Arabidopsis thaliana: one gene and its partner. The protein of the gene in region 1 interacts with the protein of each later gene in a pairwise test. Each region holds a gene or a part of one and is shown on either strand. Other genes may lie near its edges.

Evidence for each region.
Region 2: the proteins of AT1G25320 (region 1) and MYB33 interact in a protein complementation assay, tested with the Arabidopsis thaliana proteins (one large-scale study listed by BioGRID).

Annotation. Positions count from the first base shown.
Region 1 is NC_003070.9:8,868,976-8,884,715, reverse strand, and holds AT1G25320 (Leucine-rich repeat protein kinase family protein), read right to left. Parts: upstream 6,927-15,740; 5' UTR 6,729-6,926; coding exon 5,255-6,728; intron 5,171-5,254; coding exon 4,536-5,170; 3' UTR 4,328-4,535; downstream 1-4,327. Other genes in the region: CES (basic helix-loop-helix (bHLH) DNA-binding superfamily protein), read left to right, coding at 2,698-2,887, 2,972-3,141, 3,228-3,293, 3,763-3,831, 3,939-4,019, 4,106-4,201; MEE8 (basic helix-loop-helix (bHLH) DNA-binding family protein), read left to right, coding at 9,882-10,109, 10,197-10,262, 10,352-10,411, 10,509-10,592; AT1G25300 (Octicosapeptide/Phox/Bem1p family protein), read right to left, coding at 12,330-13,148.
Region 2 is NC_003076.8:1,832,433-1,848,238, reverse strand, and holds MYB33 (myb domain protein 33), read right to left. Parts: upstream 10,405-15,806; 5' UTR 10,210-10,404; exon of another isoform or gene 9,873-10,209; 5' UTR 9,818-9,872; exon of another isoform or gene 9,737-9,817; 5' UTR 9,685-9,736; coding exon 9,340-9,684; intron 9,253-9,339; coding exon 8,286-9,252; coding exon of another isoform or gene 8,242-8,285; exon of another isoform or gene 8,104-8,241; coding exon 7,853-8,103; 3' UTR 7,512-7,852; downstream 1-7,511. Other genes in the region: AT5G06120 (ARM repeat superfamily protein), read right to left, coding at 83-169, 446-513, 763-886, 1,141-1,236, 1,349-1,458, 1,667-1,784, 2,252-2,317, 2,433-2,593 and 2 more; AT5G06110 (DnaJ and myb-like DNA-binding domain-containing protein), read left to right, coding at 5,239-7,230; GPAT7 (glycerol-3-phosphate acyltransferase 7), read right to left, coding at 11,517-12,437, 12,552-13,133. UniProt on the Arabidopsis thaliana protein: Transcriptional activator of alpha-amylase expression that binds to 5'-CAACTGTC-3' motif in target gene promoter. Positive regulator of abscisic acid (ABA) responses leading to growth arrest during seed germination.

The DNA of each region.
Region 1 (15,740 bases):
AAACCAATTTGAAAAGGAAAAACAATTTTTACTATGATTTAATACATTTCTGAACCTATATAGGGGTAGATGCTGAATTCGAGTCTTGTATACTATATTTAATGAGATATGTGTTTGTGAATTCACCACACACATTGTTAAAAGGCAAAACGGCCGGGGTCTAGTGAAAGCATGAACCAAAAAATGTTTTTAAAAAATTGGTTACAGAAACGAATAATTCATCTATTTAAAACTACATCAGAAGTAATAACGAGCTAAAAGAACAGGCTTTGCAACTTGTTAAAAGTACAGGCATTTAAGTTCGACGTATTAAAAATCAATCATATCTTGGCACCGCGAAGTCACCATCTTGGATTAAGATACTCTAAAGCAACACGTGTCATTCTTGGATAGTTGGATACTATTCATTCTCAAATTCTTGATAATTTGAGAACTGAGAAACATAAAAAGAAATTCGTTTTTATGGATAATTGAATAACACAACTTCTATTTCAAGATAAGTTTAGTGGGGCAGAACAAAAGTGAAAAGATAGAAACACATGGAAAGAAGAATAGAGACAACATGGGGTGGAGACAGCAGAGTAATTAAGATTTCCAAATATAGAATTAGTGGTAAATTGTGCCCATCAGTTTTTTTGTGTGGAAACTCATTAGTGATTAGTTAAAAAATATATTTTATCCTTCTTACAAAGATGAAGTTTTTAGAGATTTCACGTTATTTAAGAGATAATATATAATGATTATTTTAACTTTACATATTTACTTTTACATAAAAATGATACTTTTATTTGATGACACAAAAGATTGTAATTATATATTCGGTGCATTGAGGGAAGAGAGAATGTTGGAATGTGTCTTTTAATTAATGTAAAAAACTAGTCTTACGACTGAATTTTTTTTTTTACAAAAAATTAGAAACCATGTAGTAATGATTAATGAAGAGCAAAATAGGAAAAAAATTCTAAATTTTGTATTGATAACATAAAACGTTTATAGAGACTTTTTTTTCTTTAAAAATCTATCTTTAAAAACATAATGAGTATATATATATATGAACTCGGTCAGCTGATCCCATCAATCTCAAAAAAGATGCACCAAAATTCTATTATGTGGACTCGTCGCCAACACCTAGATGTTGGACTATCACACTTGCCGATGGTGTTATAATGCCGACTCGTGACGTTTTTAGAGCCCACTTGATCCGAGGACGACACTATGGTAACAAACAATCATCTTTAGGCACAAAAACAAAAACAAAAGCAATCATAAATCATAATTAGGAATAAATGGCTCAATGAGGATTTTACTGGAAGTCTGCAAGACTGCTCTCAATGGCCGGTTGAATTCACCACTCCCCTGTCGGTTTTTTTCAAATTATTGGTCTGGTTCAATTGTGGTCGCCCCTTTATTATTATCTCCCCCATTTTTCTATGGGCTAAAAAAAGGTGGGCCTAGAAAGGCCCAGTAAATAAAATTTCATGAATAAGTCCTCTTTCCTTAGTAATACATATTAGGCATAGGAAATTATTAAAGAGATTGTCCAATTTATGTTGACCATTTTTAAGTAACGTAAAGGTAAAATGAAAGTAGGGGAAACGAAACAAAATTAATGTGAAAGCGAGATATTCCCAACGTAGAACTATTAGTAATTGAATAGTTGCCTCATTATTGATGTAAGAAAATGGAAAGTAGTAAAGCCAATCTTTATCAATGGAGATGGGCTTGGATTTTTCTGCTTCCTCACAATCATATCCATGTCATTAAAGTCAAATTTCCTAATTTCTTTACTTAAAACATTGATTGAAAAATTTAATCACATGTTAATCGTAACAGTTGTGGAGAAAATAATCGTATCCACTCTAGGTTCTTAAGTCTCTTCCAACCATCCAAACCTTCAAACTAAGATATGCATCCTTTTGATTACTATGTTATTTTAGTTTTGCCATCTACAGCCTCTGTAAGTCTTTGAAACTGCCTAGACCACTTCAAAACTCACACTTAACTTATTTTGAGAAAATATTATATTAACTTATTTTGAGAAAATATTATATAAATCTTATTATTTTCTTACAATATTTATTATTTTCTTACAATATCGATTTAAGTTTTACCAAAAACACAAATGGTCCAAATTTTTTAAATAATAATAATAATAATAATAATAATAATAAAACAAAAGTTTTACCAAAAACAATGTAAGTATTTCCGGCAACTAGCCGAGATAGCCGCTTAATGTTAAGTCGTCGTACTTAAGTTTTGTCCGATAGCCTAATAATGCAAAACTTGTGATGATCGCTCGTAGATCATTAATGCAATTTCTTCGGTTTCAATTTGGCACCATACTTGTTACATTAAAAGGGATACTCAAAAGGTCCCGACAAGTTAGATATATCTAACATTGAACATGGGTCCCACAAAATCTACTGCACAGTGATAAATGGAAACCTAGCTACGAGTGTCTCTTTGGTCTCACACGCTTCTTTCTCATTCTCACCAAAAGTCACACAATACATGAGCAAATAACCAAATCATTTAAAAACTTAACTTATTAAATATTTCACCCCATCTTAGACATTTCTATCTATATAAACAATCACAACTCAATTGCAAGTTTTATAACTGTCTTAGAGAAAGAAAAAAAACAAAACTAGCTCACAAAAAGGAAATCATATTTTGATTTAATTTGTAGTGTCTCTAATGGCACGGTTTGAGCCATATAACTATAATAATGGTCATGATCCTTTCTTTGCACACATTAACCAAAATCCAGAGCTAATAAATCTGGACTTACCAGCTTCTACCCCTTCCAGTTTCATGCTTTTCTCCAATGGAGCTTTAGTTGATGCCAATCACAATAATTCTCACTTCTTCCCAAATTTATTGCACGGTGAAAATTTTATAATTTTATTGTTTGTGGGAAAAACTGTTATATCTATGTTTATGTGTGTTCTGATGAAGCTAGAAATCGCAGGTAATACGAGAAGAAAAGGAAATAAAGAAGAGAGTGGGTCGAAGAGAAGAAGAAAGAGGTCGGAAGAGGAAGAAGCCATGAATGGAGATGAGACTCAGAAGCCAAAAGATGTTGTTCATGTCCGAGCTAAGAGAGGTCAAGCTACTGATAGCCATAGTTTGGCTGAAAGGGTAATTCTACAAATACATATATACTCAAAAGTACAAAAAACTTCACTTTTCTTAGTTGTGTTGGATTCTTTGTGGAATGCATAAAGGTACGAAGAGAGAAGATCAATGAAAGGCTGAAATGCTTACAAGACCTTGTTCCAGGATGCTACAAGGTACTTGAATTAACGCAAACCCTAATATTTCTTTTTGTTTGTTTGTTGTCTACAACTCCCTAATTTTTGTTTTGTAATTAAAATAAAATCAACAAAACTCTAAAAACAAGTAACTCTAGATAAATTAGTTACCTCTAAATCCAAGTAACTCTGGTGCTATTTTTTGGTTTAAAAACACTTTTTAAAGATAATTTTTCAAGCTCACAATTCTTTAACTATTAATATTTTTTTTCTATGTATCATTGAATTAAAGTGTAAAAAATTAGGAATCATGTGATAGAATATTTTAAAACTATAGAAATAATTAGTTTTTGTTTTTGTTTTTTCGGAACGCCAAAATCTAAAAGGGTGTGGCAGCGTCTCTTACGTAAATGAACAGATTGTTTTTTTGTATAGCGATTTTTTTTTTCCACAGTAATAAATCAAAATGGGTTTATTCTCTATAATGATAATTCAAAACGTGATGCAGGCAATGGGAATGGCAGTGATGCTTGATGTCATCATAGATTATGTACGATCACTCCAGAATCAAATCGAGGTTAGTTAGGCCATTGATTTCACTCTTCAAAGTTCAAACATCCCATTAACTTTTATAATATCCCACTAATACTTAAATGTTTTCCTGCTTTGGCCTCTTGACTACAGTTTTTGTCCATGAAACTCTCAGCGGCAAGTGCATGTTACGACCTTAATTCTTTGGATATTGAGCCAACGGATATATTTCAGGTAACTATCACATAATATTACATGATTAAAATTATAATAAGATAAAACATTTTCATGGATTTGTATTAACAAAAAAATGATTACAGGGAGGGAATATTCATAGTGCAGCAGAGATGGAAAGGATTTTAAGAGAAAGCGTTGGAACACAGCCTCCTAATTTCAGTTCAACATTACCCTTTTGATCATAAGAAAATTATGAATTTTCAGAGAAATTATTCTCTTTTTCTATAATTAAACTCCATAAATAAGGACTTACCATGATCAGTATATATAGGTTTATCTATCTTTTGTGTGTGACGTCAGTATACTTTTATCATAAATGTGTAACCTTATGATTATGAAGCTTATCCATATAGTATGTACCATGAAAATGAGTAAAGCTATATGTTACAAAGAAACTCTATTTGAAGTAACATAAGATTTCGATATTACAAGGGGAACTAACAACAACAGTAAGACTTTTCCTTTAAACACATTACATACACACAATTGACTTGCAACCGTTTTTGTTACGAGTCACTGAAGGCAAATTTGGGTCAAAGCATCAGCGATATGCTTCATCGGTGGACGTTTCTCGGGGCTAGTACTAACACAAGCCATTGCAATTTTCAACACGGCGATGACCTCTTCTTCAATCTCTGTGTCATTAGGCACCAAATAAGGATCCAAAATGTCTGACATCTCTTTCTTCTCATCGATACACATTTGTATCCACTTGACTATCTCCATTTCCGATTTACCCACGAAAACAATCGGTAATCTTCCCGTTATCATCTCTAGCAAGATCACTCCGAATGAGTATACATCCCATTTCTGTGATGGCTTCACTGTTGCTTTAGTGGCTTCAGGAGCCAGATAAAATGAGCTCAAGTTTGCAGATGATCCAATCGATGAGGCGGTCTTGTTGGATGGTCGGTCAACTGTAGTTGATTCCAATGTTCCAGCAATGCTAGAGAGGTGCATAAGTCCGAAATCCGAGATATGAGGCTCCATATCCTGTCCCAACAGTATATTGCTGAGTTTCAGAGATCCATGAACATACTTTTTAGGACTAAACTCGTGAAGATACACCAGCCCTCTTGAGATTCCCCTCATTATCTTTAACCGAACTCCCCAAGACAGAGGCTTGAATGACACCATTCCAGGATTTCCTAAGCATACACAAAAACCAAAATTGAGTTTTCAAGACAGAGAAACGATATGAGAAGTATTATCATAAAGGTTTTATAGTTTACCGTGGAGTGCATTGGTAAGGCTTCCATTAGGAATGTAGTCGTAGATGAGAAGTTTCTCTTCAACTGACCAATAATAAGCTTTAAGACTAACGATATTCGGATGCCTTAGCTTCCCAATTGCTTCAACTTCTGTCTGAAACTCCTTGCATCTTTGGGAACCTCCTTCTCCCAGTCTCCTAACAGCGACCGTTAGACCATCTTCGAGGACAACTTTATACACAATCCCGTTCCCGCCTTTTCCAAGAACGAAAGCTGAAGCCTTAAGCAGCTCATCTAAATCCAAAGCAATATGTTTATCCAACAGAACAAGATCTTGTTGTGGCTCAAGATTTTCCGAAGAAGGGGACTCTGATCCATCTCTTCTGAAACAGAAGGAACCTTTCTTTTCTTTCCCTTCTTTCTCCAACACATAGCCTTCCTCATCCACACTATTACGACGTGCACAAATCTTCAAGTAACAACAAGAGAAGAGAAATCCCACAATGCAGATTCCAATGAAATCACAAACCACAATTGCAACAATAGCAGTTTTACTTAAACCTTCTCCTTTCTTTGACCCTCCTCCACCTTGCTCGTTGTTATCCGGTACAAAAGGGTGAGAAGTTGAAGAACTATCCGTATCTGGCAAACAAGGATCCTTCAATGGAGGGCCACAGAGTCTTGGATTCCCCAAGAATGCAGTTGGTCCTCTGTTCACCAAAGCACCGGTTTGTGGGATTGGTCCACTCAAGTTGTTGTAAGCTAGATTGACATAAACTTTCTCAGGCAAATTCCCCAAACTAGCTGGAATCGAGCCACTAAACGAATTATGAGACAAATCAAGAGTTCCTTGCAATCTAGTCAAATTCCCCAAATCATCAGGAACAAGACCAATAAGATTGTTAGAAGAAAGATCAAGCTTCTGCAAAGAAGCCAAAGACTGACCAAATCCACTAGGAACAGAACCAGTGAGATTATTCTGACTCAAATCAAAGCTCCTAAGCCTATTACACTTCAAAACCGATTCTGGAATAGACCCATTAAGAGAATTACGAGAAAGATCCAAAATTTGCAGAAACTTTAAGTCACCAATCTCATTTGGAATGGACCCAGACAAGAAATTCCCATAAAGAACCAAACTTTGAAGACCTTGAGCCTTAAAAAGCTCAACAGGTAAGTTCCCACTAAGCTCATTGCTTCTCAAATTCAAATGACGGAGATTAGAGAGTAAACCAAGAGAAGAAGGAAGATAACCTAAAAGTTTCTTCTTTGGGATGCTAAGAGAGACAACAACCTTGTTATCATCACAAGTGACTCCATTCCAAGAACAAGGGTTTTGATTCTCTGAGTTCCAATTGCTTAAAGAACCATCTGGATCTTTTGAAATAGACTGCTTCAGAGTTAAAAGAGCAAACCCTTCGTCGTTTAGAGCATTCAATTCGCCATTGAAGTTCCAGATAAGAAGAAACATGAATAAAAGAGATCCCACCGACATTTCGGAGGAATCAGTACAAAAAAGTAGCAGAATTTGGACAAGAGTTTACTTTTGGTAATGGAGATATCAAGAATGAGAAGAGTTTGCGGAGATTGATGAGAGAATTGGAGAGAGAAGAGCAGTGAGAGTGTGAAAGCATGAAAAGGGACTGTGAGAGACGTTGATAGAAGATTCGGGCTTCCTAAGTTGGACCTTTGGACTTTGGTATCTATCTATAAATATCCCAACTTTTTTTTTTTGAGATCAACAATTTATTAGTATTTTTATTTATACAAATTTCTGTTTTCATTTATTGGTGAATTAAAATCAATGTTGAATAGTTTAAGTGATATAGAATGATGGGAAAATACAAAACTTGAGAATGATGATGACAAATGTGCAAAAGATTAGCTCTTGCGGAGAAATTCATGCACTTTCTTTATCATAACGAAAGAGCACTTATGCCAATTTTTATATACTTTTAGCTCACATATTATTATTACAATTTTTCAAGAAAAAAACTTTAATATTAAAAGAAGCTGTTTTATTTGTTATTTTTCGTTTTCTCTTAATGAAAATTTGTGATTTTCATACTTCAAAAGGAATGAGACAAACTAACCGACCTTTAACAATTAACTATATTTAATATGATTATAATTACCAAACAAAAATGTATATTTATGATTATCATTTACAATACAAATTTTTAAGTAATTGTATACAAGATATGTATGAGCTAATGGTTCCAGTCGAATGAATAATAGTTGCAGTAGACAAGAGTAAGCTGGAGTAGAAAAAGTAATACCCCTACTTCTACTTTATTTTGTAAAGAAAATAATAGAGTGATTAGTACGGCTCCATGATTATCCCACATTCTATGTATAACTATATATAAAGGGAACACCTTTATGAACTATGATGTCCCTCTTTGTATGTTTTCCAGCCGTTAACACACACATTTGTATCATCAAGTAATCAATTTATTGAAAAATGTGAATCATGATGTCTATAGTTGTCTAGCTACTCCGAACGTATACTAACTAATCAGTTTTAAAATTAGTTGATATTCAATGTATGTGCATGTGAATGTGTAGATGTAAATGTAATTTGTGAAACTTAGTTCAAGCTAATTAACTAAAAGGAAATAAACATAAGGTTATACAAATGGAGATTGTCTATATGTATTTGATTAAAGATCTTTCACATTTAATAACAGTTTGGGATTTAACAAAAAAAACATAGTTGTGGTGGTGATATACTATGAAGTTATAGATGCTGATTCATAGTAGTGAGATTAATTTTAGAGGTTTTACTAACAGCCAATAATAGAAACTTCTTTCAAATAATTAAAATTTCCTATAAAATAAAGCACATGAATGAGAATGACACCAAAAAAGTAATTGCAGTTCCGATAGGATAGAAGAAAAGTGTTGCTAAAAGAGATATCATACATTGAACAGACATGCCTGGACCTATGTTTTATGCTTTGCTTTCTCAGCATATCAATCATCCATACCACCAAGGCACCAACACTATATAATATTAAGTGAAGAATGAATGTTCTCAGTCTTTGTAAATTAGACTGGACAAAAGAATACTACGAGAACGTAAAAAGATTAAAATATCATTTTGTTTACTATTTTTTATCAGTAAAAGCACTTTACATATATATAGTGTGCCCCAGTAAAAGAGATGGTGGATACATGGAGCAGCAAAATATGAGTATAGACCAGAAAAGATAATCAAAGCTAGGCTCTAACTTTGGCACGTTGAAAATAGGAGCGTGTGTTCGAGAAGTTAGCCGTTGCTGTGGAGCACTGGAGCGCATAGACTATCTAACATCATTACCAAACTACGCAATCCACATGTATTACGCAATAACATGATCTCACTTGGTCTTTGTGTTTTTTTTCTTTTTTCTTTCTCTATTGCAGTTTTCTTTAATATTTTCGAAACATCATGTTTATTAATCTTGGTTTCCATGGATGCATATTTTACCTAAATAGTGCAACGTTGTCAAAACCAATTGTTTGGATCGATGATATAACACTCATGTTTAGAAACTATTTACTTTTTTAATATATAAAACTTTGAATCTGAAGAGTCCTAAACTAAGACTAACAAAATAGAGGGACTCATGATCCAAAAGTTCTTGAAATCAATCTTACTTATCATTATATACGGGTAATAAATTTCTCAATCTGTAGAATATTATATCGATTGTGTAAATTTTAAACTATGAATTTTCATATTTCAAAAACAAAATAGCTCAATTTAACATTGTTTTCCATATCCCGAGATTATAAAGCATTTACGATCACCTGAGATATAAAAAACAAAAAATAGTTCATTTGTGAGTTATAAATATGTCACGTAAAATTGTTATAACCTCATGTTGTGTAACTTCTTAAAGAAACTACAAATTAATTTAAAAAATCATCCCAGAGATTTAGTTAAAGAAATTATTACCATGTCACCCATACATATAGACAAATAAGGCTGATGTCAAAACTTTAGTGCTAGATAAGATTTTAGAAAGTCTAAATCCCAACATACATGCTGAATGCTGACAAAGATCATGCCGCATGACAAACAAGGTTGCCGCATGATAAACAAGGTTGCCGCATGAACCGTTTTATAACCGGATATCTCCCTTAGCAACTCAAGGTTCTCTCTAAACCGGAAGGTACCATTCAGAAATATTGTAACTTACATCACTAGATTAATTAGATCATTCTCGAAAATATTTAAATATTTGTATTAAAGGTACGACGTAGAGTACTCCTAATGCATGTGGAGTTCTGAGTAAACGATTACAAGAGCCTCGTGACTTCGTAAGGTCCTAATATTGTCGTATTATGTGTGTATATATCCTGCATTCCAAAATCTCTAATTTTTTAAACCGTAGACTTAGGTCAAAAATGGACACGTTACATTTCTTGGCTATATCTATGAACCTTAGATGTCCACCTTACATAAATGTAATTTTATTTAAAGAATTAGTAACTTAGTGACGAAGAGTAGCTTTTTGAGCGGCAAACGTTGTTGTTTCTCGTCATGAGTAGTTTACATATATATCCTTTTCTCCCTGTATAAGTACCCTTGAAGCATGTCTGCGTTAAACTCAAATCAGCCAAACTTATCAGTAAAGAATCACTTAAAACTATCAAAAGAATGAACAAGGACGAAGTATTTCTTCGGCAATGGTTTGAGATACTATACTCGCTCACTAATCCAGAGGCGAATAGTGACTTGCGTAGGATCAACAACGAAAAAGGTGTAGAGAAAGTAGGGCAAAAGAGGTCAGCTGAGTCGAGGAGAGAAGGAAAGAAGAAGCGAGTTAAGACACAGTGCGTGATTAAATCTTCAGACAAATCTGATCATGATACCTTGTTGAAGAAGGTAACCAATAATAGTTGTATTGTTATGATACGTCTTCCCCAAGAAACTCTTGATTTACTCTTTTCTCTTCTTTGGATACCTTAGAAGAAACGGCGGGAACGTATAAGAAGGCAACTAGAAACACTTAAGGAAATTACACCCAACTGCCCACAGGTTCACAACTGCTTCCTTTGTTAACTGATTTTTTTTTCTTGGGAAATGTTAGTTTTGTTAATGTTTTTTTTTTCCGTATAATCTTACAGTCTGATATCAACGCCATCCTTGATTGCGTTATCGAGTACACGAACAACTTGCGCCTTGCAGTTCTTTTCGGAGGTAATTTTTTTTTATGGCCATACTCTGATCTGTTCGTTAAAGATTATTTATCTTTCTGGTTTTTAAATTTCTCTTCATTTCCAGCATTACAAGGGTTCGCAGGGAATATGTGACGACTGGAGACTGTTTACTGAAGCTGGTGCCGTTTTGTATTATATAGATACTTGATAAAAGTTTCGATTAGCTAAGTTTTCTTATTTTCTCAGTTGTTCTTTGTTGGTTTGTTATAATCAAATTGTATGTTTTTGGTTTAAATATTACGAGTTATGTTTTAGCCTCAGTTCTTCGTTTGTTTGTTATAATAAAATTGTATGTTTTTGGTTTAGATGTTACGAGTTATGTTTTAGCCATGAGACCATCTTTAATTAAATTCCGTTCGGAACTTAGTACTACTGGATCTTGCAAATTAAAAGTTAATGATTTGATCAGTCAATACTCGAACACTAGGCGCCTACTGTCCGCCATTTTCTTTTAATAAAAACCTTATGATATGTTTTGGTCTTCATGAAAAATTAATCTGTTAACAACCGGACCTAGTATCAGTGTATGATCCTTAAAACAAGTAATTCAATTTAAAAAATTAGGATAAGTGTTAGATGAATTGATCTTATATCTAAATATTTGTATGTGTTTATGATTAATTGAAAGTATTTAAAATACGGAAATTTCTGTTTTATATATTTTGGAAAAATACTACAAATAACAAAACAAATGAAAAAAATACCACAAAGATTTTGTTTTATGAAGTGTTCGGTAAAGATTGGGAGGCCAATAATTTGTTTTTTTTTCTAAAAAAATTATATTTATAAACAAAGCAAAATCAGTTGTAATTTTGAGAATATAGATTATCTTGATAATTATCTTTTTTATTATTTGTTAATATGATATTTATCTTTTCATGTTACTTATTCTTCAAATTTCATAAGTTATTAGATATTATCACATTTTAAACAAATTTCATATGATAAAACCCATATTTGATATATTTGTATTTACTTTGTATAAGAAATATCTGAATTTCTTTTTTTATATTTTAAATACCGTAAATATCTGGTTTCTTTTTTTTTGGTGGGCGTAATTATCTGGTTTCTTACTTTCTACTATTTAACATTGATAAAACAATTTTAAAACTAACTCAGCAACATCTAATATTTGAATATTATGTGAGAAATCATCGAGGAGACTTTTTAATAATAACATATTCAATTAAATTCAGAATTGTATTAAAATTTGAGTAAAGATAATCATCAAATCCAATATCTTCAAGTACACCTTGTTCTATTTCCTTTGACATTAAAATAGCTTTTATGGATAAACTAATAATACATAGTGTTAAAAAAGTATAATGGAAATAACTACATAATATCTAAATAACCTATCTAAGTCTTTGCAAATTTATCAAAATCCAAATTACACATAAATCCAATGCAGATAGATTTTGTTGTTGTCAAAGGTATTGTAAAAAGGTTGAACCTTGATCCCAAAGATTATTTACACCTTCCGCATATACATTATAACAGCGGATCCTGGACAGAAGATTACGGGCTTTAGGATGAGAGGAAGAGAAGGCTCCGATGCCGATAGGACCAACTGAGAAATGAGTCAAATGACCCTATTCAATCCAATGATTATGTTGACTCTTTTTAGAAGATAATAATCTCATGATCATCATAGAGCTAATAAGACAATTAAACTACAATTAATTCATAACCACTATTAAGCCTTCATTATATATAAAGAAAAAGATTCCGGCCTTAAGGTGCAAAACTTCCTTGATGGAAAGGAAGATCAGTCACGGTCCAAGAGATATCAACCTAACGTGTTCCATACGCTATATTCTACAACAAAAATTGACTCCCAAACTCAAAAGGATTGAAAGATACCTTGACGTGAAAGAAACTCCCATCAGGTCGCGTTTTCTTGATTTTCCGGTACAGGATCTAACCTAGGAGAATGTTCTGTTGCTGGAGTCAATGCATAAGCAGCCACTGGATAAGTAACCATATGTGGTCGCATCTGCCAGACTGGTAAATAGCAGATTATTAATGGTTGCTGCTGCTGCTGCGGCAAAGGCTCTTGAAGGATTGGCCGTGGCTGGTCTTGAATCTCAACTATCTCTGTTTCCCTATCTAAAAATCCTCCCACATCATTAGCGGCGGAGGTGTTTTCTTGCGGCAACATAGAGGAGGATGTTGTAGATGCCGCCTCGTCCTGTCTCCGATTCTCCTCTGCTGTGGTTGCATTGACCTTGTTGTGATGGACAAACTGTACCGGACCATTATTTGGCGCGAAAATCGGGCTGGAAAGAACGGAAGACAAAGAGGTAAATATCGGCGACTCGAGACCTAGCAACCGATTAACAGTCACGGACTGTCGCGTTAACTCGACGTGATTTAACGGGAAGAGGAAGAGACGGATACGCCGTAAACGTGTGGAATCATACTCGGCGATCATGTTCTGTAGGTCCTCGTTATCGGAGACGGTGATGAGAGAGTCGAAGTCGCAGCTAGGGAGCTTGTACTTGAGAGAGAAGGAACGGCCAGATAGGAGCTTGTCGGAGAGAAGCTTGAAGAAGTCGAGAAAGGAGATGCCACGTGGAACGATGACTAACCGCGTCTCGCCACCGATGTAGTGAAGGGATTTTTCTGGTGGGAGGGGCATTATACGGCCACCGTAGCTACAGAGCAGATGGAGCTTAGGATTTAACGACGGTTGTGGTTCCATGACGGCGACAGAGGTTTGGAGAGTCAAAACAACGATACTCACACAGAGATTCCCAAGATGTAAGAAGTACTTAGATCGGCAATATTTGAGAGGATTTAGGGTTTTCTGTTTCTTATTTCGGTTTTGAGTTCGACTAGTAATATGATTTTCTCATCCTGTTTGGTTTGGAATTAAATATTAAGTTTATCTTCTTTTTAAACGATTTTATCTTTAATAATTAATAAGATTGATAAACATAGTTCTTTATTGGTTAGACCAAGAACATTAGATTTAAGTGCCGGAGATTTTATTTTCTTTCATTTCTCCCTATTTAATAGCAATGTGTACCTATAAATCAAAATATATTATTAGTTATATTCTGTAAATTAATTTATAATATTATTACTAAAAATAAAAATATAAAATATAATACATGTAAAAAATGACATCAATTTATTAATACAATATTTATTTTTTGTATCAAGAAAGTTCCGCACCATACATTTTTTCAGGTTGGATCAAAACAAGATAAGTGCAGTTTTTTTTGTAACATTGCGTATATTCGAATTAATCATCCAAATTTATCTACAGATTATATAATATATTGATAGTATTGGTGTTAAAGTTATTTATAAATTATTCAGTAATTAGGGATAAAAACTATTTACCTAGCTAGATAGGGAAATAATGATAATCCGATTTTAAATTCATAAAATATTCTGTAAAATTGTATCCTGATTTTTTAAAAACTAATCCTAAATTTAAATTAAAATAAATAAATTATATTTCATTGTTTAGATAATATTATAAGTTTTCTTAGTTTTAGAACTTCTAATGGAAATGGCTAACTGGGTTTATTTTTGTACCATTTTCTATAGAGATAATTTATAAAGTAGACACTTTTTCTATAAATAATTTGTAATATGGGTAGTTTTTTTATAAATTAGTAAAGTAGACACTTTTCTCTCTCTTCTCTAATAGAGATTCTCTCTAATAGAGATTCTCTCTAATAGAGATATTGGTAAATGACATGTATATCATTTTTTGTTTTTATATATCTACATGTATATTCTTTTTGATTTAAATATTTGAAGTTTGGTTTGCTTTAAAAACTTTCATAAAAATATTTTCACAACAACATATTTATATTTAATTTTTTCTGTGAATCTAAAAGGTTTACTTTTGCTATATTTTGAAAATACATAACATTTTTTATATTTAATCTCAACCCGACGGTGTACGTGACCATGCAAAAAGTACTAGTGTACAAACAGTGGTGTACGACAATAGTATAAAAAGTAATGTATGATACTGATGTAAGAAGTGATATACTGGATATAACAGTATACGTGTTGGTGTACAAACGATATGTGCGAAGATGATATCTTAAATATGGTGTACATGATATGTTGTACACCTTCACATAATTTGTACACCACGTTTAGAAAGAGTGAACCATTTTAGTGGTGTACATGATATTAATGGTGTACAACATCGTACACTTTCACATATTTTGTACACCACCGTATACTTTTACATATTTTGTACACCACCGTATAAATATTTTGAATATTATCATTATTTTAATTTACAAGTATTAGAAAAATTAGTATATTTGATGGTTTACGAGATTTTCTACAAATATAGGTTTTCAAAATATGTTAGTGTACAAAATGTTGTTTGAAATGCTGGTGTACCAAATTAGTGATAGAAAATATGTAAATTAAAGAAACGAAAGATATTATTTTTTAAAAAAGATTTTTTTAATAAAAAAGTAATCAACAAACTAAAAAGGAAGAGAAAAGAAAAAAACAAATGGTGAGGGTCTCTCTCCAAAAACTTTAACAACACAAAGGGTAAAGTGGTATTTGACACTTATTTTGTTTTTTAATTTATTACACATGTCTCTTTATCTCACAAAAGCAAAAAAAAAGTGTCTATTTCTCTAATTTTAAAAAAAACTACCTATTTTATAAATTACTTTTGAAAAAGTACCTGCTAATAAGCCCTTTTCTATATAATGTATGTTGCAAGCTGCAACAGCCTTCAGATAAATATTCCAAATCATGAGATTACCGATCTATTGATGTCCAGAAAAAGAAATATTTTCTAATTTATTTACCCTTTTGAGGGCAGAAGATGACAAAGATAAGAACGGACCGCAAAGGGCCAAAGGCCATGCTTGGACCAGTAAAGTTTAATATGATCGGGGAAGAGTGGGTAACCATCATATCATTATCATTATTTTCATCATCATTATCAGGATTATCATTAACAGCATACCATGACCTCTTCATCAACATCATGAGCATCATCATCATCATCATCAATGAACAGTTGAACACCATCATCATCAGCTTGTACAGCAAACAAAACTTTCTTCTTTTGCTTGGTTTTTTCTTCTTCTATATGGTTTGAACTTTGAACAATGTATTCCGATGTGTGCCAGTTGACCAATTAATCCTAAGTTGGCTCTTATAAAAGAAATTTACGACAAAAACAACAATTATTTAGTAGTACAATTGCATTTCTGTAATACAATAAGCTACTACTTTGATCAAGGATCGAATCTTTCAAGATACATTCATTTCCTATATTCACACGGCATTGAGA
Region 2 (15,806 bases), on another chromosome or scaffold:
GCTGGAGGATAACCAGAACTTTAAAGACTAGTAGGGTCTATAATTGGTATGCTAATGCATTCACTAACATAAACTTGCGAACCTGCCATGACTGGAGAGATTTAAGTGTGAACTCTGCCACCAACTGTATCCACTCACCATAACCTTCCATCTTCACAAGCTCTGAAAGCTGCAGATGAATTCATACACGTAACATGCTATTACATAATGTCTGAATTTAGCCATATAAACCAATAAATTATATCCAAATGGTATATGACAATCATAGATAGCGTCACAAATTACGAATAGTTAAGACTGTCCAACTGTCACATACAGAAAAAAGGAACATGTGTGTATTTACTCAAGTACATGGCATCATAACATAAATTTCAAGCTACAACACAAACAAAATTGTACAAACCGTAATCTGTAAACTAGAAAGGAATCTAACCGAGAAATTTACCTGATAATTCAGCCTAAAACGCCCAAGTAGACGGCAGAACACGTGGTAATTATCATGATCAGCAAGACCTGATCCAACAAAAGTAATTTGTGTTGACGAACCAAGATCAGTGAGATGTTATAGTTCAATGAGGTGTAAAGTTTGCAACAGAACAAAATATTAACAAATACTGTACATAACATGTTAACAGACTGTGTAATTGAGAAGCTGGAATGTCAGTCATGAAGAGTTAAAAGTTGCATACAATGCAACACCTTAAGCGCAATATTTACAGTCAGACATAGGAAAGTCCCATAGTATAAAAACATCAAGCATACCTTTTCCAGTTTGAAGAATTTCTTTGGTTCCCGTCATCAAATGAGCTAGAAAATTAGAGCGTGTAGCATCATTTGTGAACAGAGAGCGCCTTACAGAAGCCAATCGCACCAAGCACTCAAGTGCCTAGAAGTTAAAACAGAGAAACATTAAAAAATAACAAATTGTAAGTCATCTATAATACCTACTGAGTCCCAACTGTACATGAAATAAATCACGTCATCAGTGACATTACTGCAATTGAATCATTTGTCCTCATAATGAGAGTGAATAAAAAATTCACAAAAAAAAGGTAGTCAAAATCTATCTTTGATGCAAAAGATGCCATTTTGTTTCTTCTAGTCAAGCACGGAAAAAAACAAATAACAATAAAGACATACCTCTTTCGAAAGAGGGGACTCTGTACTACCATAATAATCGAAAAATATCTGCAGCGTGGAAGAATCCTCCAATACTGACCTCCAGGAAGTTGGAATCTAAACATTATCAGTAACACTAGAAGTTAACACCCCTTAAAAACGAGTACACAAATACATAGGCACAAAGCATTGAAAAGAGATTGAAGATAGAAGATCATTAATGTTCAACCTGAACTGTACCAAACTCCTCTGTGCTTTCATCAATTGAAGTTCCGACAAAGTCAAATGATACACACCTCAGTGCAAGAGAAAGCGCCAATTCTTGTAAACGACCAGCGGCTGGTTAAAAGAAAATATCTGACTCATTACAATTGAAAATTTCCACTCCTATGCTAAGACCAACAGATATACATCGACAAAGATAGTTACATACTTAACGATTACAAAACATTCCAATGTGCATAAATTATGAAGCTGGTATGTAGAAGTTTTCATACTTGGCATGACGGAATATAACGAAAATTTTGACATAGATGACTCATATTACCATCATTTTTCAGATAGCTTAATGACGTCAAAGCTATTCTGAAAACTTGAAATAAGGATTGATCCCTAAAGTTGCATGCAACCCGCCGATGATGTGTAGATGGCAGTCCTGGATTAGGCTAAGAATTGAGCAAAAAAGGGATGAAAAAATGTCAATAAGCATTTAAAAAAAATACCCTGGTAAGTTGGAACACAGTAGAAAAACAAAAAGTTAGAAATAAATACCCTCGAAAAAATATAGTTTGTGACACGCTATCTATCTAAAAGCATGCACACTGTGCACATATAATTCTGGCCAGTCTAACAAAACAGCCATCTTAAATGTTTTTAATTAAAAAAATAAAGGAATGGTGAAAACAGACAATTATTTAGATACAGCACAAACCTCCCACTTGTATCTATAACAGACTGCTACTCTAGATCGAAAAGAAACAAAAATATGAGGCAACTCAAAGCTAATATACAAAAACATGACTCAAATGCAATTAGCAATACATGCCAAGAACTCAAACTTAAAAGAGAGTTATTCCAGCCTATGTTAGGACATGTCTGTGACATGGAAAATCAACCACAATACATCACTAACCTGATTCATCTCCTGCACAAGTTGATCCAAAATTCTTAAACCAATAGCATAGTGATCCGAGGAACCCTATTGAAATAAAATTGATGTAAGCAACGTATTCAGCAAGCCCTTGTTAAAAATATCTGAAAATTCTACAAAAAAATGTCCACAAAGCACTGTATTCCCCCAGAAGATGAATCACCTGTTCCAAGAAGTTTGTAGATTCCTTAACCACATCCCTGAATCTATCATCATCTAACCATCCAAACTTTGTGAGCCGGCAAAGCAGTTGAATGAGAGAAGCGATAACAAATGATTGCATCTTCGGTCCTCTTGTAGCCAGATAGTTCACAATATAAGCCCCTAAAGACAACAGAAAGAACACCAGAAACAAGTAAGATATTAAATGCCAAAAAGAGATATTCTAGTTATTTGGTTAGGAGGACATAAGAAGTTTACTGATGTCAAGGCGAAGATTCAGCGGAAGAGTATGATCAGTTACTTGCTTTAACAAACTCGAGCTAGCGAGCATTAAGGAATAAGGTTTTGATGAATTGTCGAGAATGTATTGACATTGTGATATATAATCCGTATTCACAGAAAAGCATCTCAGACTATTTTCAGCATGAGCCCTCTCAGCTGAATCCTGTGAGTTGTATAATCTCTCGCACATTGCCTCAAGTTGCGCCAAGCTCTCCATTGGTAACAAAGCAGAATCTGACCAAAAAGGTAGAAAACCATAGATACCACTACCGTTTTAACAAGAATATTTTGACAAGATTACAATTATATTACAAAGTATTCTGATTTAAGAACTGTTAAGTGGCAACAAAAGACATGAATGAATCATTACAATAATATTTTCCAGAGAGCCTTCACTGTTTCAATCAAAATATCTAGAATTGGATTGGAAATTTAATATCACAATAAGGCAAACAGGTTGCAGGAGAAAAAAAACAAATGATACATTTCCACAGTAAACGCAACCAACCATTCTTAAGAAAACTGAAACACCAAGATCCAAACAGAGATGGAACAACATTAACAATGACAAAAGTGCAGTATGAGTTAACACAGACAACACAAGTGAGCTAGCGGTAAATATCATGTAGATCTCATACTACAAAGAAGCGCAAGAGAGAGAAGGTACACAAATAGTATTAGAAAAATATGTAAAAGCCTACTGGCAGAGATAAGTTCCTAACTCTGCATGATGGAAAATGTATTCAAGCTGTCTATCACCTTACTCCAGCTCAGTACTCGGGTTGATTTCTGTTTAAAGGCCAAAAATCAAAATTCAGTTGCCAAACCACCCATGTAAATACTCATACTAGTCATACAAAACGCCGGACTGACACACAACTCTAAGTGAGACCACACATTATCAAAATGCTGCTATATAAGCTAATTACAGCAGAAATGGAAGAGAAACAAAACTCTTAGACGATATTAAGCTCAGACTTTACAGTATCATTCCGCCACAGCTAAATCCTATCTGATTTTATGAAAGCGCAATGAAAAATGTGTTGATGAAACAATAAACGAAGTATGTAGACAATAGCAGTGGTAACCATTCGATACTGTGCAAGGATAATCATAACCACTTGAGCACAGAAAACGGAAACAGTAAGGAGAAATGAACACATAGAAAACCTAGATTTCGTATTTCAATAATATCCTAATCATTTGGCGCAAACAAACACGAAGAAGATTTATCATCGATCTTCACAACTTCACGAATCACAACATTAAGAAGAACAAACCATCGAGCAAGAGAAAAACTCGGAAAAAGCAAACGATGTGAGAAACTAAAGTTTGGCTTACCAGAGATTGAGCTGGTAGTTAATCAGATTTGTTGTTCGGTGAAGTTTTCCGGCGAACTAAATCTCGATCAAGCGAAGCGTCGATGGTTACAACGAAGCAGAAGAAGAAGATTAAGAGACGTGCAGTCTGATCAGGCGATGACAGCGTTTATAACGCCGAAGAAGAGAATTCACCGATTATATTAACTTCTTTTTTTGGTTCAGATGCTCCCTCACCTCTCTCTCTCTCTGGCTCGAGAGATGTTTCAATATGGGCCTAATTTAATGGTCCTAGGACCATACGTAAAATGGGCTTAAAAAGAAATAAGGGCTTGGTTGTGTTGAATAGTATAAAATCGAAAAGAGTGTGTCAAACAGGTTTAGGATACTTCCCACTTTTAAGCAAACTGCTTTGTCTCTCTCTATTTCTCCTTCTCTTCCTCTTCTTTGCGCTGCCGCCGCCGTTTCCTCCTGAACTTATTGAACTCTTCTCGTTTTCGTCGTCTCTTTTGGACTGCGATAACTTCTTAGGAGAAACTTACGGCAGGCTAATCTAGGCAAAGGCAAGCTCACTTTCTGGTGAGAAAAGTTGTTTTTCTTTTCTGAGTTGGGTCGATTTTGTTGAGATCGCTTTAAAAAATCTGACTTTGTATCTATTTTTTCTTGAAGAGGTAAACCCTAAAAGACGAAATCTTAGGGTTTCTATGTTTATTGTTTGTGTTGATGATTTTAAGTAGGGTAACTATAACTAGGGTTTAGGAGCTATGTATTGAGTTATTGATTGTTTGTTGACTCGCTTCTGTTTCAACCTCCGTTGACAAGTTTCAGAGAGGATGTTGTAATACGTATTTACTGCTTCTGGTTTCTTATAAGGCTTTTGTGAATGCCTTTAGGTCTTGTGGATTATTTGGATTTGTGACACTGTTCTCTTGGTTTTGATTGCTTCGTTCTGTTGTGCATCTAACTACTTTGTCCCTTATTCTAATCAAAGACAGTCGTTTTGAAATATCCTGGGGTTGTGGATCTAAAGTAAAAAAGTTTCTATCTTCATATAAGTTTATCTGTAGTTTCTGTATCCTGTCAATATTTCTATGGAAATATACCTGCTTCTGTATATAACTGTACTTTGATTCTTTGTTACAGGAATAAACGTTGGTGATCACTTTTGAAGCAAGGTGGACTTGAAGCTCTGACACATATTTCATCATGCAGAGTTGGGGAATTAACTCTGCTATTAAGCTACTTACATACTCCAGTGAGCTTAAGGATGGACAAGCGCTCTATGCTTCTTCCAATTGTCATCCTGTGAAGGCTTTAAACCGTGAACCTGCGGGTCATGCCTTCCATTCTGCTGCTCTCAAACTGCGTGGTTGTGCTAAGGAAGCCACAAGCAAGAACGAAGATACCGATAAGAAGGTCCCTAAGGAGAAGGATGGTGAATATATTCCTTCCTATGACTCCCATAACATCAAAGGAAAGAAGAAGTCGGGGAAGCTACAACATGATCACTATGCGTTGTTGGGTTTGGGCAATTTAAGATATCTTGCAACAGATGATCAGATCAGAAAAAGTTATCGCGATGCTGCACTGAAGCATCACCCTGATAAACTGGCTACTCTACTTCTTCTTGAGGAGACAGAAGAAGCAAAACAAGCCAAAAAGGATGAGATAGAATCTCACTTCAAGTTGATTCAAGAAGCTTATGAGGTTTTGATGGACTCAACAAAAAGAAGAATATTTGACTCTACAGATGAGTTTGATGACAAAGTCCCAACTGATTGTGCTCCCCAAGACTTCTTCAAGGTTTTTGGTCCAGCATTTAAGAGAAACGCAAGGTGGTCAAATTCGCCTTTACCAGATTTGGGAGATGAAAATACACCACTTAAAGAGGTTGATAGGTTCTACAGTACTTGGTACACTTTTAAAAGCTGGAGAGAGTTTCCTGAAGAAGAGGAGCATGATATCGAGCAAGCTGAATCCCGCGAGGAAAAGAGGTGGATGGAGAGAGAGAATGCAAGAAAAACTCAGAAGGCTAGAAAGGAGGAATATGCTCGGATTAGGACTCTTGTGGACAACGCATATAAAAAAGACATAAGAATACAGAAAAGAAAGGATGACGAAAAGGCTAAGAAGCTGCAGAAGAAAGAAGCAAAAGTTATGGCCAAGAGGCAGCAGGAAGAAGCTGCTGCTGCAGCTATTGAAGAAGAGAAAAGGCGAAAAGAAGAAGAAGCAAAACGTGCGGCAGAGGCTGCTCAGCTGCACAAGAGAGCCAAGGAAAGAGAGAAGAAGCTTCTGCGCAAAGAACGAAGTCGGCTCAGAGTTCTCTCCGCCCCTGTTCTGTCCCAGCGTCTGCTTGGCATATCTGATGAACATGTGGAAGATCTATGCATGTCACTTAACACCGAGCAGTTGCGGAAACTGTGTGACAAGATGGAAAACAAGGAAGGGATGGCTTTGGCAAAGGTGATCAAGAATGGGAGCAACATTGATGATGATAAAATAGAGATTGAAGAAGAAGAAGTTCAAGTAGCTGTTAAGCAGAATGGTCATATAGAAGCCAATGGTCATGTAGAAGCCAATGGTCATGTAGAAGCCAAAGTGGATACTGCTACTCATGAGAAGAAAGAGAAACCTTGGAGCAAGGAAGAGATTGACATGCTGAGAAAAGGAACAACCAAGTTCCCAAAAGGAACATCTCAGAGATGGGAAGTCATATCAGAGTACATTGGTACAGGAAGATCTGTGGAGGAAATTCTCAAGGCTACTAAAACAGTACTTCTCCAGAAACCCGACTCAGCTAAAGCTTTTGACTCTTTTCTGGAGAATAGGAAACCTGCCGCTTCAATCAACTCTCCTCTCTCTACACGAGAGGAACTCGGAGAACCAATTATACCGACCAAAGCTCATGAAGACAACAACTCAACCAAAACAGAGACCGCAGAACAGAACGGTAAGACCAAAGAGAACAACAACAGTAACGGCAACTCTGAACCAGCAGCAGCATCTGGTTCAGACCCAGACGGTTGGTCTGCTGTGCAAGAAAGAGCTCTGGTACAGGCTTTGAAGACGTTCCCAAAGGAGACAAACCAAAGATGGGAGAGAGTAGCAACAGCTGTTCCAGGGAAAACGATGAATCAATGCAAGAAGAAGTTTGCTGATCTTAAGGACGTCATCAGAACCAAGAAACCCACAGCCTAACCTATCCGATTCCTCGAGCTGCACGCTTTGAGATTTTGTTTTGACAGAGATGAGCGTGGACTCAATTTTTGCTACAATTCATATTTTCGTAATTCGTATACATCATCATGCTGCTCTTATTCTACATAGAGTTTTTGACAACCGAATCTATTCTTATTTATCTATTTTGTTCTAATTTTATTTATGCTCTCTGTCTTTATTTAATTTTTTGATCGTCTGGTGTTATCTTGTTTTCATTTTTCTATCTAGTCTACAAACGAATAGCCGAAGGGAGTCGTTGATAAACCAAAGCGAAATCAAACTTAATCCAAAGAGAAATATATTAAAAGAAACAATTCTCTGTTTAACATTGAATCAAATCAACTGTCTGTATGTATACCATAGTCCTTAAAGAAGCCAGTTCTACAAAATCAACCACTTCATCCTCCTGATGAATCGTCATTATGGGTTATTGGTACAGAAGCCAACAAAGTATCGGCTGTGATCAAAAGGCTCAAAGAAAAGATATTGTTCTTGCATTGGCAGTTGCTAGTCCATGACCATGAGAAGTGAGAACTGACAGATTCTGAACGGCTCTAATCCAATCCACACCACCAATGGAGTGGAGGATTTCCCGGGCTCGTTAGGGTAGTTCTGTCATTTGACAGACAGGTGGCATGTTGCTCCAAGAACAAGACCCAACTCCTGAGGATGCCCCAACACTCATATTCATATAGTCATTTCCTATGTCATCGCCAAGGAGAACCGCGAGTGCGTCGCTCATGCTACCTGTCTCTTTCACAATCCCTAAACCATGGTCAAGCCAGCTCGATGCAAGCAAAACGTCAGGCCTTGTTATATCCAAGAGAGGTTTCCGCTTTTTTTCTCTCTGCCCTGCATAATTTTTTAAGTTTAGGTGAGTTCTTGATCAGCTCAAAATCTCGGCTATAAGAAACAAATTAATGCAAGTGATGATTCTCAAAAAGTAAAATCAGGATACCAAATAGAATTCTAGGGAAAAAGATGAAATCTTCAACAAACTATTTCAAGTGATGGTAAGGTGAATAGTAACTCACTTGGTGGAGTTTCATCTGCATTTTGTGTGGACATTTCGGAATGAACCAAGAAGCTCTTAAGGGAATTGTCAAACTCCTCGGATTTAGTTTGGGATACAGTAACCTGGCCAAGATCAGCTGATGGAATAGTTGAAGCGCAGCTCCTGTACAAATTGTTCTTTGTACTATTATTTCTGATCTTGGCTTCCAGAAGCAACATATCGAGCAGACCAGTATCAAAATTTGAATATAAATCTGACTCTTCTCCCCCCGTTGGTGGTGGTGGAGACTGAATGTAAGTATCAAAGGGATCAAGGAGATCAGAGTGTGGAGGAGATGACGATTTCTTCCACTGGTCAAATGTTGTTTCTGAATATTGGAATGAAGGGAGCTCCAGCTTCACTGCCCCATATAAGGGCTTAGAATAAGGAACAATGCCATCCGTAGGGGTATGGCTATCTGGAATCATAACAGGTGAATGTCGGTTTCCATAGAGAGGATGCTCAACATCACAAGGAACTGAGAAGCTGCAAGTTTTGGAAATCGTTTGTGGAGATGTGTTCCGGAATTGTTCAGGCGACGAGAATTCTTGCTTTATGGTACTGCTACACCCAGGATACAACAACTCAGATTCCCAAAGTCGCTTCGAGGAGGGGATTGTTGGTGTCATGAAGTTTTCATATCGAGGAGAACTTGCACAGTTACCCATATTTTTGTAGGCAGTCATATCTGCTAGATCAAAAGTACCAGGTACCATGTCGGTAAAATTAAGAGTATCAAAGAAGACATTAGATTCACAACTCCCCAGCTGCAAGAAATCTTGATGTCTTCTATCTTCTCCCATAACTCTACTCTTGGCATACTCTTGACTCCACTCAAGTGCCTCAACATGCATCTCAGGAGGATAAAGTGGCAAACCAGCTCGTTGTCGCCTCTTGATACGAGTGTTCCAATAATTCTTTATCTCATTATCCGTTCGGCCAGGCAACTGGAGCAAACAAAAACTCTATGAAATTAGTCTCGAAACACACTTTTACAAAAGGAACCATATCCTTATCAGAAACAAAACACTTACATGTGCAGCCATACGTGCCCATCTATTACCCATCTTGGCATGCAATTCAACGATAAGCTGTTCTTCTTCTTGACTAAAAGCTCCTTTCTTCAAATTTGGCCTCAGATGATTAGCCCATCTTAGACGACAGCTTTTACCACAACGAAACAAGCTGGTGTGTTTCTGCACAGCATTCCAGTTACCCTCACCATGCTTATTCACATAGTCAATAAGAATATCATCTTCAGCTGAACTCCAAGGGCCTTTCTTGAGAGCATGACCATCCCATCTACTTCTGCAGTCACTTCCATTATCATCAGCAGCTGGTGACTCATTATGGTCACTGTCAGTGCTCGTGTAACTCATCTCTTTTCTAATTAAACCACTGACAGTAACAATTTAGACATCAAGCTCCCACCTAAACACCAAAAACTTCAGCTTGAAATAAAGAAAGTTCATAGTCATAAAGAATTAAAAGAGACGAAAGAGGAAAACAAACCCTAAATAAGGAAAGAAAAAAAAAACAAAATCCAGAACTGTCAGACGCTGGATACCTGAAAACCAACAGAGAATAAAAATTAGATTGAGAAGATTAGTAGTCTATTACGAAGAAGATCAACAACAAAGCTGATGCAAACATCAATCGAAAGCGCAGATAAAGATCAGCTGAAATAGATCAGAACGCACAAAGAAGATACTATCAGATTATGAATATGAAAAAACAGAAAACCTGATTTGAAATCTAAGCTGAAATTGAAAGTTTTTAAAGATCCTAAGGACTAATCAATCATAGATCCATGAAAAGCAGCAATTCGAGATAGAAACGGAAAGATAATCTAGAAACAAAAAATTATATTTACGCGGAGAGAAGCTCAAGGCTAAGGAAAATACCAAAGCTGGATAGAGATCCGAGCTTAGCTTGGGCAGCTGAACATCGAGTGGAAATGGAAGGAGGGAGAGAAGCTTAGCTCTTTCTCTTCCTTTTACTCTTTTCTACTTTCTATCCCATTTTTCTTTTTCTAAAACGTTTTCTTAAATATATTATAATACGATAACTTGTGAAAATTAACTATTTTATTATTGTTATTAGCATTGTAATTATGTTACTAAAAATTAATCAGAGTTTTTACTAAATCAAAGCTTAAGCAAAAATAAAAGCAGCTTATGAAGACAATCCTTTTGGTTTATTAACTGAAATGCATTCAGATAGTAAAAGAGTGAGATTGAATAATTGATTTGAAAGAGTTGTAACTTGTAAGAAAGAAATAGAGTTGAATTGGTCACCTTTTTGCAGCCTTTTTTGGTCACTCTCTTTATCTCATTTCATGTTGTGTCGTATGTTTATACGTATGTATATTCCCGTATAAGGACAACACTAGGCTTACGAAACCTACTTCTGATCCTAAAGAAAAGCCCACAACAGAATTCAAGTTAGAGATACTAAAGCCCATTACGTTTCTTCTTCTTAAGAATAAAACAAACAAATAAAACATTTTTCTTTAGTATTATTAACCTAATTAATCTAGAAAATTTTATAATGTTAACTGTTTTCTGAAGCATGTACTATTAACTATTTTGTTAATGTGGCGAATCTAAAAGTTGGCCAACTCTAACGGGAAGGCGGCAGCTAAAAATTTGGCGGTCAAAGAGATTGTCATCATCCAACCAAATACGCAATTAACTATTATTTGATCAAAAAAGTTATAAGATGATATTTGCAGCTCAAGTTTCCTTAATCAATTTCTTAGCTACCACCACCAAACTATTAATCGTCTGTGCATTACCAACCATTATTTTTCTCACCCTTAGTTTGTATGATTGAAAACAATTCTATACATTCTTTTAAGATGTGATGTAAATTAAACATAACCAAATTTAACTAACAAGTAGTTAGATATATAGAATATTTGGACAATTTTGTCAACGTATTTTCATAAAGCGAAAATGTCCCAAGGAAATTATTCTATTGGGCTCTCTTTTGAAAGATATGTAAAAACGTTGTCATGTATTTAATTTCAACTTTTAACAAAAAGGTTAATATACTTGCGATTACATTCGACAATTTATAAAGTAAGGAAAAAAAAAACACAAAACCGTAGTCATAATATACTTTCAACAAAAAAATCTTTAAAAATGAAAACTTAAGCAATCAGTGATCGCGTAATTTAGAGTATATAATTATCAAAATAACTTGTAAATTAATGCAAAAAAGGTTTGAAAGTGGTGACGACCTTCTTGACTTGATCGAGAAACGACAAATACGACACGGTTCCGTCGTTCCCTGCGAGAACTCTATACTTATCCTTCCTCGTAAAGTTAGTACACTCAAAGCCTAACGTAGCTGCCAAGATTCTCTGTACATAGTTAGCCACGTCATAAGGGCTCTTCCCTGACGAACACGTCGCCTCCACCTCGAGCTGGTTCAAGAACGTCACCTCATAAACCGGTCTCGGGTTCATGAAAAAGAAGATCGGGTCCAAACCTTTCCAGCCTCTAGCGGTAGTCGCATGAAAGAATCCAACTCTGTAGTTCATTGCCACGGGCACAATATTGTCGGTTAATTCTGCGAAAAGCGCGCTAAATCTCAGCAAAAACGGCTCGCGACAAGTGGTTCCCTCGGGATATACCACTAAGTCCCCATTAGACAGTTCTTTCTTGATCATCTCCGCATCTACATCTCGAATTCTAGTTAACCTAAAGGTTGGAATCGGAGATAGGATCTCGGATAAACGAGAAATAGAGTAGGTAACAGCTGGAATGCTACGTCCGAGCACATAGGATAATACGACCGGATCCATTAGAGTTCTATGAGTGCATACGAATAGTACGCCTGGGTTTCCGGTGGTTGCTTGTGCCGGAGGCTTTCCTTTTACGATGAATCGAGTGTTGAATATCCGTGAGACGTAAGGTATGGCCCATAATGGAAGTAAGAACCCAACGAATATCCGAATCATGGCTAGAATTATTCCAAAGGGGATCCAAAGAAGGATGATGAGTGCGGTGGCTGGTGTTGGTAGCTTCACAAGTCGTCCATCGTGGAAGATAACTGGTAACGGCTGCACATGTAGCCGCTGGTTATGACCGTTGTAGTTCGATGGAACTGGTGCATGAACTTGCTCCTACATGTACATAACATATGCAATCATTCAGATTAGAAAAATGATAGTAACGCTTTCATAAATTATAAAACAACCTAAAAGAATTCCTAACGTTATGTTGTCTTTAGTACTTACCTCACATAAAGATAGGAAAGTTGGAGAATCCGAGATAATATGTCGTCCTAGACCTAGTTGAGGTCTCCGATCCACAAACAAGTTAGCCACACTGTTGAAAACAGATTGGTCCACATTGGTTTCCTGAATCAAACCGGTAGCATAACCGAAACGGTTTACGACAATCTCTGTACCGATGACCTCATCGGCGCTAAGATGATCCTTAGCGAATCTCTCCACCATAACTCGTGGCATTCTTGTCACAACGACTCTCTTATCGCACGAACCAAACGCCCTCCAAGCGTCCATGCTGATATCGTCCATGAAGAATTTGGGAAGAACCGCTCGAGCCACTGATTCAATCTCTGATTCGTGCAAACCGGCCGTTGCGACGAAGATCATTAACTTAAGGCTACCGTTTCTGTAGCCCAAAACGTCAAGGAGTGCTATGATAGGCCAGAGAAACAGCAAGGTCGCAAAACGGATTAGTCCTGAAGCCTCGAAAGCTACGAGCATGAAGTAGGCGAAGGGTTTTGGGTTTTTCAGTAGTGTTCCTTCTAGCTCCGACACAACTGAATACGATGTTGTAGTTGATGACTCCATCACAACTTAACTTGTTTCTTTTTTTGGGTGTGTGGTTTCTTGAGTTTTTGATTTGTTTGAATATGGAAAATTGTGGATTATAAAGTTTGTTTTTATAAGGTTGGTTGGAGTCATTTGTCTCTAATGCAATAACACGGCAGTTTATCAGTTTCGCAACTACTTTTTTTGTTTATGAACGCATTAATTTGTATGTCAATTTAATTAATAATTAGTTTAGGTCAATGTATGAACACATAAGATAAGATACTGAATGTCACGTACGTGTTCTCTGATTCCTTTTTATATTGACTACACGTAAGATTTACAATCAACGAATCGAAACAATTTGATGGCTTAACTTTCACCAACTTGATTTTCCGAATTTTCGGTTTGGCTGCGCCAATATTAGGTCACGTGTACACCTAAAAATATGAAGATCATATTATGTATGCGCGTACATTTGGAATGTGTCCATATGTCTACACGTGTAACATGTACGTGTGTGGAGATTGTGAGAATAGGAAACGGACCCTTTATTTGCTTTGTTGGCATGTGTATTATTACGGAAAATTAAATACTGTATGATCGACAGATTTAATTTGTTTGTTGGCATTTGTACTAACAGATTTATATATGGTCGACAGACGACAGGTTTAACATCCCGTCACATCATCATAGTACTTTGTGGATATTCGGCCCTTAATTTTAACATATTTGATTCATTTGACCGTTTTCACATTCATCGAATAATTACGTTTTGCTTGCGTGGTTCAATTTGGTTTATCAAATATGTGGGTTCTCTTGGGCTTCTTTTTCTTTTCAGTCTATGGTGGACTTTGTCAATTGAACGCAATCGGTACTAAGAATTTCTATATGTAATAGAAAAACTTATATGAATAAATAATATTTTTATTTATTAAACTGAACATTTATTTAATTTCCCAATTATTAATTAAAAATATATAGTGTTAACTAAATAAAATGAAAAATGTTGCACAGCAAAGGCAAGACAAGATGTGGTAATTAAAACGATAAATGTTTTTCCCTAACATCCTTTCTTAAGTTTTGAAAGTTTCCATATTTAAAAGTGTTAGTTCTTCGTCGTTGACTTGGTGCGAGGTTTTTTGCTTCTTCCAATTGTTCTCTATCTTAATCAGGTGTGACTATGTTAACTAAAATTAGGTTGGAAAATCAACAACTTGCATGAGAAACATATCTGAACAAAAATGTGCGATTCTTGAAGTTATACTATAGTCTATATACGTACTAAAGTCAAATGGTACGTTGCTTCATCGAGACACATACATAATTCATTCTTCTAATAATCGACGACTAGACCGGTTTTAATATAGGTCAACTAATCGGTACGTAGCTATATATATATATATATATATATATACATATCAACAAATTGAAATGTTAAAAACAATGTAATAATCGAATTTGTGAACAAAATCGGTCGACTACACCAACTAGCTAGTATTTAAACCATCCGTAATCCGTAGGTCACTATAATAGCAAAAAGAATATTTGTTGTGTTTTTGTCCGTCACTTGGCTGTTTTATTTTTCTTTGGGGTAGTGTTATATAACTACTAACGAAGTTCTAGAAGATACAAATTAAAAATGTTTTCATAATTTAGTCCATAAAACAGATGACACCGGTTGGGCAATAGGCTTTAAGACCCACCAAAACAAAAGATAGCTAGAAACGAGAATTAATTATGAATGAGCCTAATGACACGCACATACAGGAAGACTAGGCTCGTAGGATTCACATATAACAATATCATATAGAAACGAAGAATGAAATGTTAAAGTTATAATTCGTATTAAAATAATGTCACTAATTAATATATGATTGCATGCGTGATTAAAGACAAACGATGTAGCTATCTCGAAAGTAGAAAGTGGTAAGTACCATCGGTGAACGCCTCGTTAGTCCCAATCCCAATGCCCCATTTTTCCCTTTTGTACGTCTCTTTGTTTCTTCCGTGCTTGACTACATCTTCCCAAGGCTGTATCCAAATATGTTTTGCAATGTTATTGGCATTTGGGTCTTAGTCTGCATTTTCTAGCTCATTTGGTATTTCGAGTTCCATTAGTATATGAACACGTTTTATAAAATTAACATCATTTCTGTAAGGAAATGTTTAGGAAGAAGGTTTCTTTAACTGGTTTTAATTAGAAATATAGTGTCCTATTTTTGGAAAACAATAATAAAATGTGGTTCTTTTGAATGCGTTAAAGTTACGGAGAAAATAAAAACTAGCTACAATGAGGTTTGCAAGGGAGCACTTACAACAGTAGGTTCAATGTTATTGGCATATGGGTCATAGTCGCCGACTTTTTTTTGGTGTTTAATTTTCTTATTTTGCGCATCCAACACAATAAGTGGCAAACAAAGAAAGGGCCAATTATAAATATAATAATCACAGTTATAGATTGATTAAAATCAAATGGACACTAAATTTAGACATTTAGGTTATCAATAATTATTGATCTATCAAGACAACATAGTCGTAGATATATATAGGGGAGGATGATTCATAACCTCTATATGACTATTGTCTAATCCGACGAGTAATTGGCGAGAAAATGTATTTTTGATTTTAAGTGTGCTGGCATCTAGATGCGGGCTTGATTAATTTCGACATCAGACAGCGTTTGATTCCAACAAATGAAAACAACTACAT